Callithrix jacchus: one gene and its partner. The protein of the gene in region 2 interacts with the protein of the main gene of each other region in a pairwise test. Links are inferred from orthologs where the notes say so. Each region holds a gene or a part of one and is shown on either strand. Other genes may lie near its edges.

Region 1 (7,287 bases), on a different chromosome or scaffold from region 2:
TGTCTACTGTGCTACACCGTCAGGATCTAGGAGAGCCAGAGAGGGCGAATGGAAATGAGGAAGTCTAACTTGGAGAAGGAAAGCCTGAAGAGAAAACAACAGGCCATGCACACCAAGACGTGTGCCCTTTGCCACTAGAGGACCCATAGCAGGGTAGGACTTCCCAGAAATGGTATATACTACCAGTCCTGTGCAAACACTTGGTGGCCTGTTACATGTGCTAGTGAGATCCCCCAGGGTGGCTGGGGCCCAGGGACACCAGTCAGGGCTGCCATAGATGGGATGCAGAGTCATGTAGCAGTTAACTTCATGGGTACTGGAGGCAAACAGGTGGATCTGACTGGCTCCATGACTTTAGAACCTGCTGACCTTGGGCCGGGCGCAGTGGCTCATGCCTGTAATCCCAGCACTTTGGGAGGCCCAGGCAGGTGGAACATGAGGTCAGGAGTTCGACATCAGCCTGGCCAACATGGTGAAACCCCATCTCTACTGAGGATAAAAAAGTTAGCTGGGCATGGTAGCATGAGCATGTAACCAGTTACTCAGAAGGCTGAGGCAGAGATTGCAGAGAGCTGAGATCGTGCCATTGCACTCCAACGTGGGCAACAGGGCAAGATTCTGTCTCAAAAAAAAAACAAAAACAAAAAACCTAGTGACCTTGGGCAAATCACCTGACTCTCAGAACAGCTGTTTGCTCTTCTGTAAAGCAGGGTAATAATGTCTGGTTTAGTGGTGCTGTGTGGATCCAGTGGTACAGGGAGGTGGAGAGGCGTGGGAAGCACTCAACACAGTGCCTGCCAGGAAGTCACCTCCATCCCAGCAGTCCTCATTCCAGAGTTCTTAACCCCAATGCTAAACTACCTCCTAGACCACCGGATCCTCCTCCCAAGGTCCTCTTCTCACAAGACCTCTGAATTCCTGCAGCTCAGGACCTCACTTCAGGAGGCATGGACAGGGCTTGGTCAGGGGCTGCTCTCTGAGCAAAGGGCCTGGGGCAGCTGTTTATTCTCACCTGGCACCACTGCCCACTCTAGCTGAGCTGGGCAGAAGCAGGCATGCAGCCATTAACTGAGAAATATATGACATGACAGAGTGGGAGGGAGTGCAGGCCACGGGGAGCAGTGCCCCAGCTCCTGAAGGGCTCTGATCTCAGAACATCCCCTAAGTGCCTGCAAGCAAGGAGTCAACAGCTGCCCTCCACAGTGTGGCCAGATTCGGCAAACAAAAATACAGAACACCAGGCTGGGCAAGGTGTGGCTTACACCTGTAATCCCAGCACTCTGGGAGGCCAAGGTGGGCAGATGATGACGTCAGGAATTTGAGACCAGCCTGACCAACATGGTGAAATACGATCTCTACTAAAAATACAAAAATTAGCTGAGCATGGTGGCGTGTGTCTGTAGTCCCAGCTACTCAGGAGGCTGAGGCAGGAGAATCGCTTGAACCCGGGAGGCAGAGGTTGTAGTGAGCTGAAATCGCACCCCTGCACTCTAGCCTGGGTGACAGAGCAAGACTCCATCTCAAAAAAAAATACAGAACACCCAGTTAATTTCCAACATCAGATCATGAATAATTGGTTAATATGTCCCACATATTGCCTGAGACATACTCATATTAAAAATCTGATTGGGGGCCATGCATGGTGGCTCAAGCCTGTAATCCCAGCACTTTGGGAGGCCGAGGCAGGTGGATCACGAGGTCGAGAGATTGAGACCATCCTGGTCAACATGGTGAAACCCCATCTCTACTAAAAATACAAAAAAAAAAAAAAAAATTAGCTGGGCATGGTGGCGCGTGCCTGTAATCCCAGCTACTCGGGAGGCTGAGGCAGGAGAATTGCCTGAACCCAGGAGGCGGAGATTTCAGCGAGCTGAGATCGCGCCGTTGCACTCCAGCCTGGGTAACAAGAGCAAAACTCCGTCTCAAAAAAATAAATAAATAAATAATAAAAGTAAAAATCTGATTGTTGTTGATCTGAAATTCAAGTTCACCTGGTCATGTATAGGAGATTCTATATATGACCTGGCAACCCTGATCCCTCAGGGCCTCCCAGCACTTTCTTGTCTCTGGTAGTGGCCAAGACCCTTGGAGACAGGGGGTCTTATGTGCCAAGTCAAGGGAAGGACCAGCCTTTTCATCCTGGATACAGAAAGCCAGCATAGCTCATACCTGTGGATGCTCAGCCTGTCAGGCCCAAAAAGTTGTTCAAAAAAAACCTCAGAGAGACTAAGCCCTCCCAAAGGACACAAACAGCCGAGGTCAAAGTCAGCCCTGAGTAAGCTGGTACCCCAGAAAGGACCTGGCCCTGGAGTCTGATCCCTGTGAGTTCAAATACTGACACTGCCACTTACTCCCTGCGGTACCTTGGCAAGTCACCCAATCTGAGCTGAAGTTTGCTAATCTGTAAAAAGATGACTGTATCAGCTTTCTCATAAGGTTACCTTGATTAAATAAATAACCTGGCACAACACAGACGCCCATAAATGAGAGCTCTGTCTCTCCCACCGATCTCACCTGATCCTCTCTTAGCAATTATTTTAAGCACATCCCTAATCAGAGAAAAGGCAGTTGGTGTTAACCCCACCTTGCCTGGGATAGAGTGAATACTGATACCAACAAATCTAGGTTGCTGTCATGTAAATTTCTTCCCAGCTGAACTTTCTATGCAAACCCATTCCCTTGCTCCAGCCATCTCTCCCCTCCGCTGTTGACTGGACGTTCAGGAAGGTTTGCTGAAGCATGTGTATGATTAAGAAAGGAAATGTAGCTGGCACAGTGGCTCAGGCCTGTAATCTCAGCACTGTGGGAGGCTGAGGCAGGGGGATCACCTGAGGTCAGGAGTTCAAGACCAGCCTGGCCAAAATGACGAAACCCCATCTCTACTAAAAATACAAAAATTAGCCGGGCATGGTAGTGGGCGCCTGTAATCCCAGCTACTTGGGAGGCTGAGGCAGGAGAATCGCTTGAACCTGGGAGGCGAAGGTTGCAGTGAGCTGAGATCACGCCATTGCACTCCAGCCTGGGCGACAACAGTGAAACTCAGTCGCAAAAAAAAAAAAAGGGAAACGTGTCCAATGCAAGTCATAGCACATATGTTGTATAATAATAAACGTGTATTAAGCCACTGTTTTGTAACCATCTATCTCTCAGGTTCCTTTAGTCCCAGACACCAACAGGGTGCTAAATGCTTTGTCACTCATGAGTAAGAGGACATTCCCGGATACTGCCTCAAAGGAGGCTGCACTAAGACCCAAAATGGCCGGTTTGGCTCAAGGTCCACAGCTTCCTGACCAAAGTTAAAGCCCCTAGCCCCACTAACGCAAACAGAGCCCAGACACGGGGGCGGTGGGGCTGGGCGGGGAGAAAAAGAACAGCCGCTGGCACCAAGACCCGGCTGAGCTCAGGGCTCGGGAAATGAAGACACCCCAGGAAGCTCTGTAGAGTTTTCCCAAGTGCACAAAGTTGGGGTTTTCTGCTTTTAAGTAATTTCTGTTGGGGTTCGTGCTTCTTGATTATGAAGTAAGGGCGCTGGATGTGTAAACTTTATAAAACGAATTGTTTGGGAACATGTGATTTCCTTAACCCGATTTAGCACAGGAGGAGGCTCCCGGGACGCTGCTGGGACCCGGGGACAGGCCCAGCCCCTGTACTCACGCCGGGGAGGTGAGCCGCCTCCAAGCCCCTCCCGCCCGCCTTCCTCCTCCTCCTCCAGGGGAATTCTGGGCGTGTGGGCCACAGCACGTGGGACCGGCCCTGCCCGCTGGAGGGTCTCAGTCCGGGAGGGGACAGCCCTAGCCCTGCCCTGCCACGTCCAACGGCCGCTCTGCATCACCCTGCTGGCCTGTACCTGGATCCTTCTTCCTGCTGTGGCTTGCCTGCCCACCTCCTTCTCTCCTGGGGTCTGTACCTTCCCTTTCTCCCTCCCATCCCTCAGTCCTCCCACCTTCCTGGAAAATGCAAATGTCCCACCCCCTCCCGCAAAGGGGACCCTGCCCCGCCCGTCGCCACCTTCAGGTTCACTGCAGGCAGCTCCATCCGGACCCAGGCCGAGGGCACCTGCGCGGCAGCAGCTGGGGCTCCTGGGCCCCAGGGGAAAAAACTTCACCGGTCCCGCCCCGCCCTTTGCGGAGACTCCAACCCCAGCGCAGCTCGCGACCACGTGAAGCGGGCTCGGGCGGGTCACGTGACCGCCGCCCGTTGCTTGGAGACGGCGTCCGCAGCGAGCGCCTTCCCCCAGGCTCCAGGCTCCCGCCGCTGCCCAGGCAGTACCTGGAGGCCGCTGGCAAAAGTTGGAGTTTCTGTCGCTCAGGAGGTTTCCTGCCTGGCAAATATCCCAGGAGGCGGGCTGATGGGACTACCTGCAGCCAGGACAACTGGGGGACCGTCCAGGCGCGAAGTGCTGATGTGGAAACAGCTTGTGCCTCATCCCCGGGGGCACCCTGTCTCCTCCCCACTTCCCTGTGTAAATGGGTTATTTAGGATACCTACCTCAGGTGATCCTTGTGAGGATTAAATGAGCTAACCACTGTTGTTAAAGAAAACGTTATTGGGACAATTGTTAAACCAGTACTGTTGAAGACTTGCTGTGGGGTGTTGGGGGGAGATCCCATAAGCGCCAAGCCTGGAGCAAAAGGCCTCAGCCTATTTCCGTATAAATAATGAAGAAGAAAGCAACTAGAAATATAACCCTAGTAGTTATTAGTTATTCATATGTGATCTTAGTTATTTATAGGTGATCTTAATTCTTTTGCTGATGCCTCTCAGGTCGGAAGTGTGAACCTGGGGTGACTTGTGAAATGAATGACACTAAGGCAAGATGCTCTAAGCCCTCTATCACGCCTGTATAAGGGCTGCTGGAGGGCGCCGCGACTGTGCGGCAGCGCCAGCGCCGGGAAAGCGCCCGCTGTTTAGCCAGCTAGGGAAGGAGATGCCCAAAATGGCTGAGACGTCTCCTTCCTGGGGAAGTTTGGAGAAAACTCCGCTTCTCCAAGCTCTTGTGGTAGGCCTGACGGCTGTCAGGTAGGCCCGCAGACATCCGGAGGCTTAACTGTTTCTATGTGATGCTGTGCTTCCGTGATCACGTTCCATGGCTACTCTCATGTTCTACTTCTGCTCCTGTTTCCTTTTTTCTTAGAAAAGATAATCAGTAAGAGTAATATAAATCTTAATATTGTAGTTCTTTCTTGATAAGTATGGAAAAGGCGCTGATGCAGTATGCTCCTTACTTCACTTCGGGCGCCAGAAATTCCTCAGCCATACCTGAACGACAAGTGACGTACTTGACCCTATCACTGCCACGCCCTATCCACCCTGCCCCCACTCTCGGACCACCAAGACCTCGCCCAACCTACCCTGCTCCCAGATTTGCAACTCAATAAAAGTGAAAGCGTCCCGGCATTCGGGGCCACTTGTGATCTCTGCGATTTGGGTAGCAGTGGATCCCTGGGCTCAAACTCTCTTTTCTCTATCTCTGTGTCTTTTATTTCTACAGTTTATCGTCTTCGCACCAGCTGGGAGAGGCTCACAGAACCCTATAGGGCTGGACCCTGCAGTAGGGTGATTGCCGTGGGGTGAGGGTTTGGGCTCAACTCGGAATACAACAAGGACCAAGGTTGGATTTGTTAAAGAGCAGAGTGAGGGAGCCAGGGGATGGAAGATTCCTAAGAGGAGACATCAAGGATCAGGGATTTCTCCCTAACTTAGCAGGACTCTTGCTGAAACTGGTCTATGCAGGCTCAGGCCCAGCAAGGACAGGAAGACACAGAAGTTCAAGGTCGAGGGCTAGTCAAGAGGAGGACTCAGAGGAGTGCAACTACAGTTTGGTCTAGGAGAGAACAGTGCCTGACACTTAGTAAATGGGCAGGACGCACAAGCTTTTGTTGTTATTATCAACACACAAGGAGGCTGAGCGAAGTAGCTCAAGCCTGTTATCCCAGCACTTTGGGAGGCCAAGGCGGGCGGATCACCTGAGCTCGGGGGTTCGAGACCAGCCTGGCCAACATGGTGAAATGCTGTCTCTACTAAAAATACAAAAATTAGCAGGGCATGGTGGCGCATGCCTGTAGTCCCAGCTACTCGGGAGGCTGAGGCGCAACAATCGCTTGAACCGGGAGGCTGCAGTGAGCTGAGATCATGCCACTGCACTCTAGCTGGGCGAGAGAGTGAGACCTTGGCTCAAAAAACAAAACAAAACAAAAAAAACCTGAGGAGCCAAATTGGTGGGAGCCCACTTTAATAAGCATACCAAAAGTTTTAGAAAACTCTAGCTGAAAGACTGTAAGAAATTCCTCCCTTAATTGTGCATGAGGAAGGAAAGGGCTGTCTCGTGCCTCACCTAGTCCTTCTCTTAAAGATTGTTGACCACTGCGCCCCCCACCACACCCCAACAAGAACATTAATTAATCCGCCCTAACTCCAGGCCCTTCCCAACATCACCTTTCCTTTAGATAACATCAGTTTTTTTTAGTGTCACCTGGGTATGGACACCTTCAGGGTATACCTGAGTGCTTGGTCTTCTTCCTAGGATGGGGGAAACCAGGTGGGAACCCACAAAACTGCCTGAGTGAGTCTTTGTATAATATCAAGACCTGGGGCCGGGTGTGGTGGCTCACGCCTATAATCCCAGCACTTTGGGAGTCCGAGGTGGGTGGATCACGAGGTCAAGAGATTGAGATAAATATATATATATATATATATATATTTTTCCTTTCTTGTTGACTATCCTGGTCAACAAGGTGAAACCCCATCTCTACTAAAAATACAAAAATTAGCTGGGCATGGTGGTGTGCACCTGTAGTTCCAGCTACTTGGGAGGCTGAGGCAGGAGAATTGCTTGAACCCAGAAGGCGGAGGTTGTGGTGAGCCGAGATTGTGCCGTTGCACTCCAGTCTGGATAACAAGAGCAAAACTCCGTCTCGAAAAAAAAAATATCAAGACCCGGGCCAAGCACATGCCGAGCTCATGCCTGTGATCCCAGCATTATGGGAGGCTGAGGCGGGCAAATCATGAGGTCAGGAGTTCAAGACCAGCCTGACCCACATGGTGAAACCCCGTCTCTACTAAAAATACAAAAATTAGCCAGGTGTGGTGGTGGGCGTCTGTAATCACAGCTACTCGGGAGGCCTAGGCAGGAGAATTGCTTGAACCCAGGAGGCGGAGATTGCAGTGAGCCGAGATTGAGCCACTGCACTCCAGCCTAGGCAGCAGAGCAAGACTCCACCTCAAAAAGAAAAAAGAAAGAAAGAAAATATATATATATACACATATATATCTATACACACACACACA
Region 2 (7,395 bases):
TTTTAAATAGTTGCATAATATTTCTGTTGATCGGGCTGGGAAGAACACGCATTTTCTTCTTCTAGGTGAGGCCTCACTTTGTGCAGCCTCTTCGGAGTGTCCTTTGACAATATTGGTCCATATAGGTCAAAATCATCAACACACATACCCTAGAACCCCACAATTTCACTTTAGGCGCCTGCTGTGCAAACACATTTACATACGTGTGCAGAGAGATATGTTCAGGAATGCTCACTGCTACGGTGTTTATAAAAATAAAAAAAGCTCTAGACACCCAAAATATCCATGAGCAAGTCAATACAGGAGTAAGGGAGGCAGCTGTGTAGGGAAATGCTTTGCTGGATTGAGAAGAAATGAGGTAGATTTGTTCTGACACAGAGAGATCCCCAAGGCACAGTTGCAGAATGGCACACACCTCAGATGTTAGATCTCATTTGTGTAAAACACTGCACACTGCAAACATATAGACACACCTACAAGCCAGATGTCTTCTGGACCCTTCCTTCCCCTATAAAGAAGCATCTGTCGAATCTCTGGGTGAGCAGAGCCTTCCGCTGGAGTGTTAGGGCTCTGCAGCCTGTCATGTGCACTTGGCCACGTGCCATCTTCCTGGACCCAGGCACCATGTAATATCTGAAAGGTCTCCTCCGTATCCCAGGAGCTCTAGTCCTGCGGGACCCTGCGGTTAGCACCCAGACTGTGGGGTGGGGGACTTTTCAGAATGGTTGGAGCGTGAATTGAGGGCCATGTCAAAAGGAGATTACCACATAGATTATAATTATGAAATTATAAATAGCTAACATGCTAAGAGACAAGTTCAAAGGCACACAGCAAACTCTCTCTCACCTCCAAGTTGTCCTTGGCACTCAATCCAAGAAAGGCAGGCATGCTAAGGTAGTGAGGTGTTGGGGTTTCTGAGTGGCATTGGGGATGCAGGGATTGGGAAGAAAGTCTCTCACCCTTTTTGCTTGGCTTTAGGTGGTGGATTCCTATGCCACCAGGGGGCAGTGCCTCCACATGAGCCTGTGCCCTGTGCCTCTGTTCCCCTGTGCCCAAGAAGCCCCACCAGACCAAGGCCAGTTGGCAGCTAGACAGAAATCTGGCCTCCATAGCCCAAGGCCCTGTGGCAAGCCAGCTTTGCTGACTTCTCAGTACTCCTCACCATCCAGCCACCCTATAGGGAGGGGATTGTTAGCCCCATTGGCCATGGGGGAGACTGAGACCCAAAGAAGGAGAGACTTGCAAAAGGGAAAACCTGGAGGTGATAGTGAGATAGAATTGTCAGATAGACTACAGGATATGCAGCTACATTTTAATGTCAGATCAACCTAGAATCATTTTTTAGAGTAAATATGTCCCAAAGGTTAGTGTACAAGAGAGCATACTTACACTAAAAATGATGTGCTTTTTACCTGAAATTTAAATGTACTTTGTACCTGTACTTTCATTTGCTCAATATGGCAAACGTGACTGGGCTTCCCAGGCTCCTAAATCCCACTGAACTGAGCACCCTCCACAGTTTCTCTGCTTCCAAGGTGGCCCTCCAGAAAGCTCAAATTTCATTGCAGCTGCTCCACTGGAGCTGAGAAGGGCTTCTTTGGGGCCCCCAGGAATGCAGGCAGGGACTACATCAGCTCTGCTTCCCAAGAGCTCGGCCCCAGCACTGGACAGGTGAGATGGGGGCAGGGGGCAGTCAGTCTCAGACCAAGCAGCCCTATCTCAGCTAGTCCTGGCCCCTTCTTCTCTGTTTCCCTCCCTCCCTCCCTTTCTACCTATCTCCCTTCCTCCCTTCCTCCCTCCCTCTTTTCCTCCTTTCTTCCACCTCTTCCTCCCACTTGGCCCAGGGACTCTGGGGGAAGAGGAGGCTATTTGGAAAAGGAACCAGGACAGGTTTATAAAGGATTCCTTTTACAAATAGCCTCCTATTACCCCAGGGGCTCTGGGGTTGTTTCCTAAATGAAGGGTTCAGCATTGGTGGTTGTAGCAATCAGGGTTTTCAGAGAAACAGAGCTGATAGGATATATGTATGTATGTATGTATGTATGTATGTATGTATGTATGTATCTACATATGCACAAATATAGAGAAATTTATTTTAAGAAATTGGCTTATGTGACTGTGGGCCTCACAAGTCTGAAATGTACAGGACAGGCCGGCAGGCAGGAGACTCAGGCAAGAGTTGACCCTGCAGTCTTGGGGTTGAAATGCCTCTTCTCTGGAAACCTCAGTCTTTGCTCTTCAGGCCTCTCAGTTGATTGCGTGAGACCCACCCACATCATCGAGGATGAGTCTCTACTTTATTTCAAGTCCACTGGTTGTAGATGCCAATCACAGCTACAAATTGCCTCATCAGCAACACCTACACGGTGTTTGATGGAATCACCAGGGGCAAGTGCCTGGCCCAGGTGACTCATAAACCTGACCATCACAGTGGTCTAGTCAGTAGGTAAGCTGAGGGAGAATTGGAACTTAGAAGGTGCAGGGCCTGAGGCCCTTGGGGTTCTAGTGGCTGCAGTCAGGTCACACCTCTTTCACCCTTCCCTCCTTTGGTTCTCATGGCTCCTGCCTAGGCTGACCGACTTCAGAAAAAGGCTGCCTCCTGTGTTTGGGGACTCTGGATATGGGAGGTAGGATATGCTCTCCAGAGAATCCCTTTTGAAGGCATGGTATGGCCTGGATTGCTAGGACCTAACTCTGCTGTGGCCACTGTGTGGCTCTTGGACCCTGTGCCAATCCTTGCATCTGCCTAGAAATGATGATGGGATCCCCCATGAGCTAAATCTGGAGATCCATGAGCCAGAGCAGTTCTCACAGGCAAAAGCTTGGAGTTGTATCTCTTCTAAGCTGCTTACAGAGTTGCAGGGGAGAACGCCATGGACCCAACCAATTAGATACAATGGGAACAGAAGGTACTCAGTCCAAGGCCTCAGCCTAGAGAGGGAGTGTCACTCCACCCCCAGGTCCTACTATATCTTCCTTGAGCTCCTGTCCCTGGAAGAGGCGATTTTCTGAGTGTGACTCCTCTGTTTCTGGCACCCTGCACATTTTTAGCCATTGCTTACAAGTGAACAGCTGGTTATGATGGCAGGAGGCCCTATCAGCACCAGGGAGGAGGTAGAAATATCCCTGGCTGAAGAACTGAATCATGGAAGCCAAGGGCAAAACCAAGAGCACCTGGGGATAGCAGGTGAGGATCCTCTAAAATACCACTTGGCTATAGCCAACTCTGTAGATACGTGTCTATACCTGTGCATGTGTGTGTTGGAAAAGGTGCATGTGTGCAAGGAAGTGTTTGCACATGTGTGTGTTGGGGAGCTTCGAGGATTTGTGGGTTGATGATAAGGGAGGTAGGGAAAAGGGAGCATTTTTCCTACTGTCTCCCACTTGTCCAAGCCACCACCATGTCTGTTGCAAAATACTCAGAGAGCTCAAATTACAAGATCAGAGATCAATTCTCTCTCCCAATGCTCTAATTCATTTCCCTGCCCTTCAGAGGAAAGTCCAAACTCCACAGTCTATAAGATAGTATCAGCCTCCTCAAAACATTTCATGCTATGATATAGACAGAAAATATCATTTCTATAGCTCACAAAAGGGCCAAGATCACACTGCATTTATGTTTGTTATTACAATGCTGCAAGCGTGCTTATTCCCCAAAGACCTTGCATTTGCTGTTTCTTCTGTCTGGAATGTGCTTTCCCTCAATTTCCCAGGGCTGGGTCCTTTATTTCTTTCAGGTCCCTGCTTCAGTTTTTGTCTCCTACTTTTTAGAGGGAGCCCTTTCCTTCTACTATGTTACCATGTTTTGATCGTTTATGGAGCCTGTGTCTCTCTGTCTGCATTTGCGAGGATAGATTACTTTCTGCTGTACACCTGTCATTCCCCCTTATACACAAACAGATGGTCAGTTCTTTGAGAGCTGGAATCTTGTTCTTGATCATTGCTTTCTAAGTGAATAGAGAGTAACCTAGTCTCGAGCTCAGCCATCAGGAAATGCTTGATTAACTTTTGAACAAATGAACAAACTGAGGCCTGGGATCAGCTGGTGGATAGTGTTGAACGGGTGTTGAGTGATTCCCGAGAAGGCTGTGGCCTCTGCCTTCTTTTATGCTGTGTTTCGTGTCCAAAAAGCCCTGGTATAACTTCTGTGGGTGCTCCTGAGGCCTCTGTTCTTCTCTCTAGAAGTGATGGATCATAGATCTCGGTCCCTCAGTGTCCCCCAGAAGAGGCAGAAGGTGGAATCAAAAGCTGCAGGCTCTGCTGAAGCCAAACCAGTTTGGAATATGACTGCCACCCGGCCCAAGAAAATGGTACTGTATGGGGTCCTCAGCATAAGGTGGCCAGGTTGGGATTGGGAGTACTGTTTGTAGGGGCTCTTGCCTCACCAGGTCAGTCAGGGCTAGACATTGACTTGGGAGGAAGAGAAAGCTCCTGTGTTCCGAGCTGGCAAATGAGGAAAGGAAGGTCCAGTTAAAGGTCACGGTCATCCTTTCCTATACTAGAGGTTCAACCTTGGGAGTTCGGAATTCTTGAAACAAATATTGCTTAGGGAGTAAATAAATACTTTACTTTGTAAATCTATTGCGTGAAATAATGCTTTCCTGTATTTAAAATTATGTGTGTGGTACACGTGTGTGTATACACACAATAAGTCAGGTGAGGCTCCTATCCTTTCTGGCTGTTAAGAAATCCAGTCAAGTGGCCTGGCATGGTGACTCATGCCTGTAATCCCAGCACTCTGAGAGGAGGAGATGGGCAGATCACTTGAGGCCAGGAGTTCGAGACCAGTCTGGCCAGTATGGTGAAACCCCCATCTCTATTAAAAATAAAAAAATTAGCTGGGCATGGTGGCACATGCCTGTAATCCCAGCTACTCAGGAGGCTGAGGCATGAGAATCGCTTGAACTCAGGAGGCAGAGGTTGCAATGAGCCAAAATCATGCTACTGCACTCCAGCCTGGGCAACAGAGAGAGACTCTGTAAAAAGAAAGAAGGGGGTGGGGGAGAGAGAGAGAGAGAGAAGAAGCAAGGAAGAAAGGAAGAAATCCAGTGAAGTGAATCTGACAATTTTGTAGCCAATGCTTTTAAGCTACATTCAATATGGGTGAAGAAATATTCTAGAACAAATAGTGGCTATACTGCTGCAAATGATATTGAGAAAAACAGTCATTTTGGAGGGAGAGGGAATTCTGACTCTTCTGGAGAATTAGGTGAGTTCCACAGTTCTGTAGCCAATCCTTTTAGCTAGCTACATTCACTGTGGGTAAGGGAAAGTTTTAGAAAAATTGATATGCTGTTGCAAAGGCTGCTGGGAAAAGGCAACAGGATTGGAGAGGGAGGGAGGACTGACTGCTCCAGGAAATAATGTGAGTCCCACGGTTCTGTGGCCAATTCTTTAAGCTACATTCACTGTGGATGTTGAATGTTCTAGAAAGATGCTGGCCACATTGTCGCAAAGGATACTGAAAAAGGCATTTATTTTGGAGAGAAGGGAGACCTGACTGCTTTAGGGAATCACAAATCCCATCTTTCTGTAGCCAATGCTTTTCACCACATTCAGGTTGGTGAGGAAAAATTAATAAAATTTTAGAAAATGGTGGTTTTTACTGTTACCACAGAAAAGTTTGGAAGTTACTGGGAAAGGGAGGGAGACTTGATTGCTGAAATGATTTGTTGGATGGCCCCAGGGAAGATTGAGAAAAAAGGCTTCCAGGTTTAAAGATTTCCTGGGAATAAAAATAGGTCAGATGTTGATCTGGCTTCCTGTGTCCAAAGACAGAAGCCAAATCAAGCTGCCCAGGAGGTCAGGCTCCGAGACTAGGGAGAATATCACCTCTGGTTTAATTAAAGCTGGTTATGAGGGCTAGAGGCAGACTGCCTGAAAATATACCCTTATACTGAATTTAGAAATTCAATTTAGAAATTTAGAATTAGGAAATCTAATTTATTTATTTATTTATTCCTTTATTTTTGAATAAAACAGCTGATGGAACTGCCTCTACGAGAACCATAATATGCAAAGGCGAGAAAAGTTAAAAATGCTTTCCTGATGACTCGGAAAAAGTAGTGTGCCTTTAAAGTTACATGGAAGTAAAAGTAACATTTTTGGAAATGATTAACAGAGAGAAACAAACAAACAAAATCCAGCCATTTCTATTTTTATTTTTTGCCTTCGAATCTCTCAAATATATTTTTTTATCCTTCTGATTCCAATTTATAGGAAAGTCAAGCGATTATAGTCATGGGGTCTCCCTAATACCCATTATATTTTTTCATGCTATTTTTGAAATATCTTAAGAAAATGAAATATTGTGATGGTGAACTACTATTCATAAAAACGTTCCATCAATATCTGTGTGCTCCTCTGGAGGAAGATTAATTTTGCGTTATTGCAACAGACGGAGTGTAGTGGTAAAATTCCTATGAAAACCCTTTACACAGAAATTGATCCACCTTCAGTTTGATGTCGTGACTTCAAAACAGAGAAGGGCTGCAGATCTTTCTCAGTGACCGGTGAGCCTCCGTTGTCTATTTTTTTGGAAGAATGAGGCAAATGGAAGGGCTAACCCAGGACTCTTCATGCCTCGGTCAGGCCTCTCAAAGGGCAGGTTCTACTTCAGCAGGATGAGTGGGTAAGGAACTGACTGTCATGTGAGGCACCCTGAACCCCGCCAGAATGAAGAGGGTTTTATTTTGTGTCACTTTCACCCCAGCTTTCTTATTCATTTGGTTCAGGTTTTGGCATGGGGTAAGTGCCTGGCTGCTTCATACACAGATCTTTACTTAAAGTCCCTGTTTTCTGCCCTTCCCTCCTTTCTTATGATATGCTGCCATTGTCCTTGCAGGTCTAGTTCCTCTCTGGATGCTGCTGGCTGGGCTCCCCTTGTCAGCTGAGCCCTATCTGCTTCCCATCCACACTGAGGCCTGGTTTCTCCATGGACACTTCCTGGACTCCACAATTTTATGGAATTCTTTCATTGGCTAAGGCCTCTCATGTTGTCTTAGTGTCTTCACTGGCACTTACTGTAGCCTTAACAGGAAGGAGTGTTACATATAAGAGACATCATATTGTAATGGTTAAGAGCATAACCTCTGGACTAAAATGTCCTGGGTTCAAATTACTGCTCTGCTACTTACTAGCTGTGTGTCTTGGACAAGTTAATTAATCTCTCTGTGTTTCATTTTCCCGTACTTTCAAAATGGAATGATAATGATATCATTTCACAGAGTCGTGCTGAGGAATCAATCACTTGTATTGGTAAGGACTTAGAGGATGGCGTGGTCCCTGGCATGTGGTGTGTGTTAAATAGGCAGCTTGTGAAATATTTCATCTTGAACTGGAAACCTAGAAGTATGACTTGAGGCCAGGCAGGTCTGGCACCAAAAGCCACTCTCT

What was found.
Region 1: the proteins of FATE1 (region 2) and AGTRAP interact in binary tests that used the Homo sapiens proteins (3 or more experiments, as listed by UniProt). The two-hybrid records come from large-scale screens. The link is inferred for Callithrix jacchus from reciprocal best matches to the Homo sapiens genes FATE1 and AGTRAP.

What each region holds. Positions count from the first base shown.
Region 1 is NC_133508.1:49,616,183-49,623,469, reverse strand, and holds the start of AGTRAP (type-1 angiotensin II receptor-associated protein), read right to left. Parts: upstream 4,069-7,287; 5' UTR 4,036-4,068; coding exon 4,009-4,035; intron 1-4,008. UniProt on the Homo sapiens protein: Appears to be a negative regulator of type-1 angiotensin II receptor-mediated signaling by regulating receptor internalization as well as mechanism of receptor desensitization such as phosphorylation.
Region 2 is NC_133524.1:148,011,784-148,019,178, forward strand, and holds the start of FATE1 (fetal and adult testis-expressed transcript protein), read left to right. Parts: upstream 1-2,996; 5' UTR 2,997-3,078; coding exon 3,079-3,187; intron 3,188-4,182; coding exon 4,183-4,310; intron 4,311-7,395. UniProt on the Homo sapiens protein: Involved in the regulation of endoplasmic reticulum (ER)-mitochondria coupling. Negatively regulates the ER-mitochondria distance and Ca(2+) transfer from ER to mitochondria possibly implicating it in the regulation of apoptosis.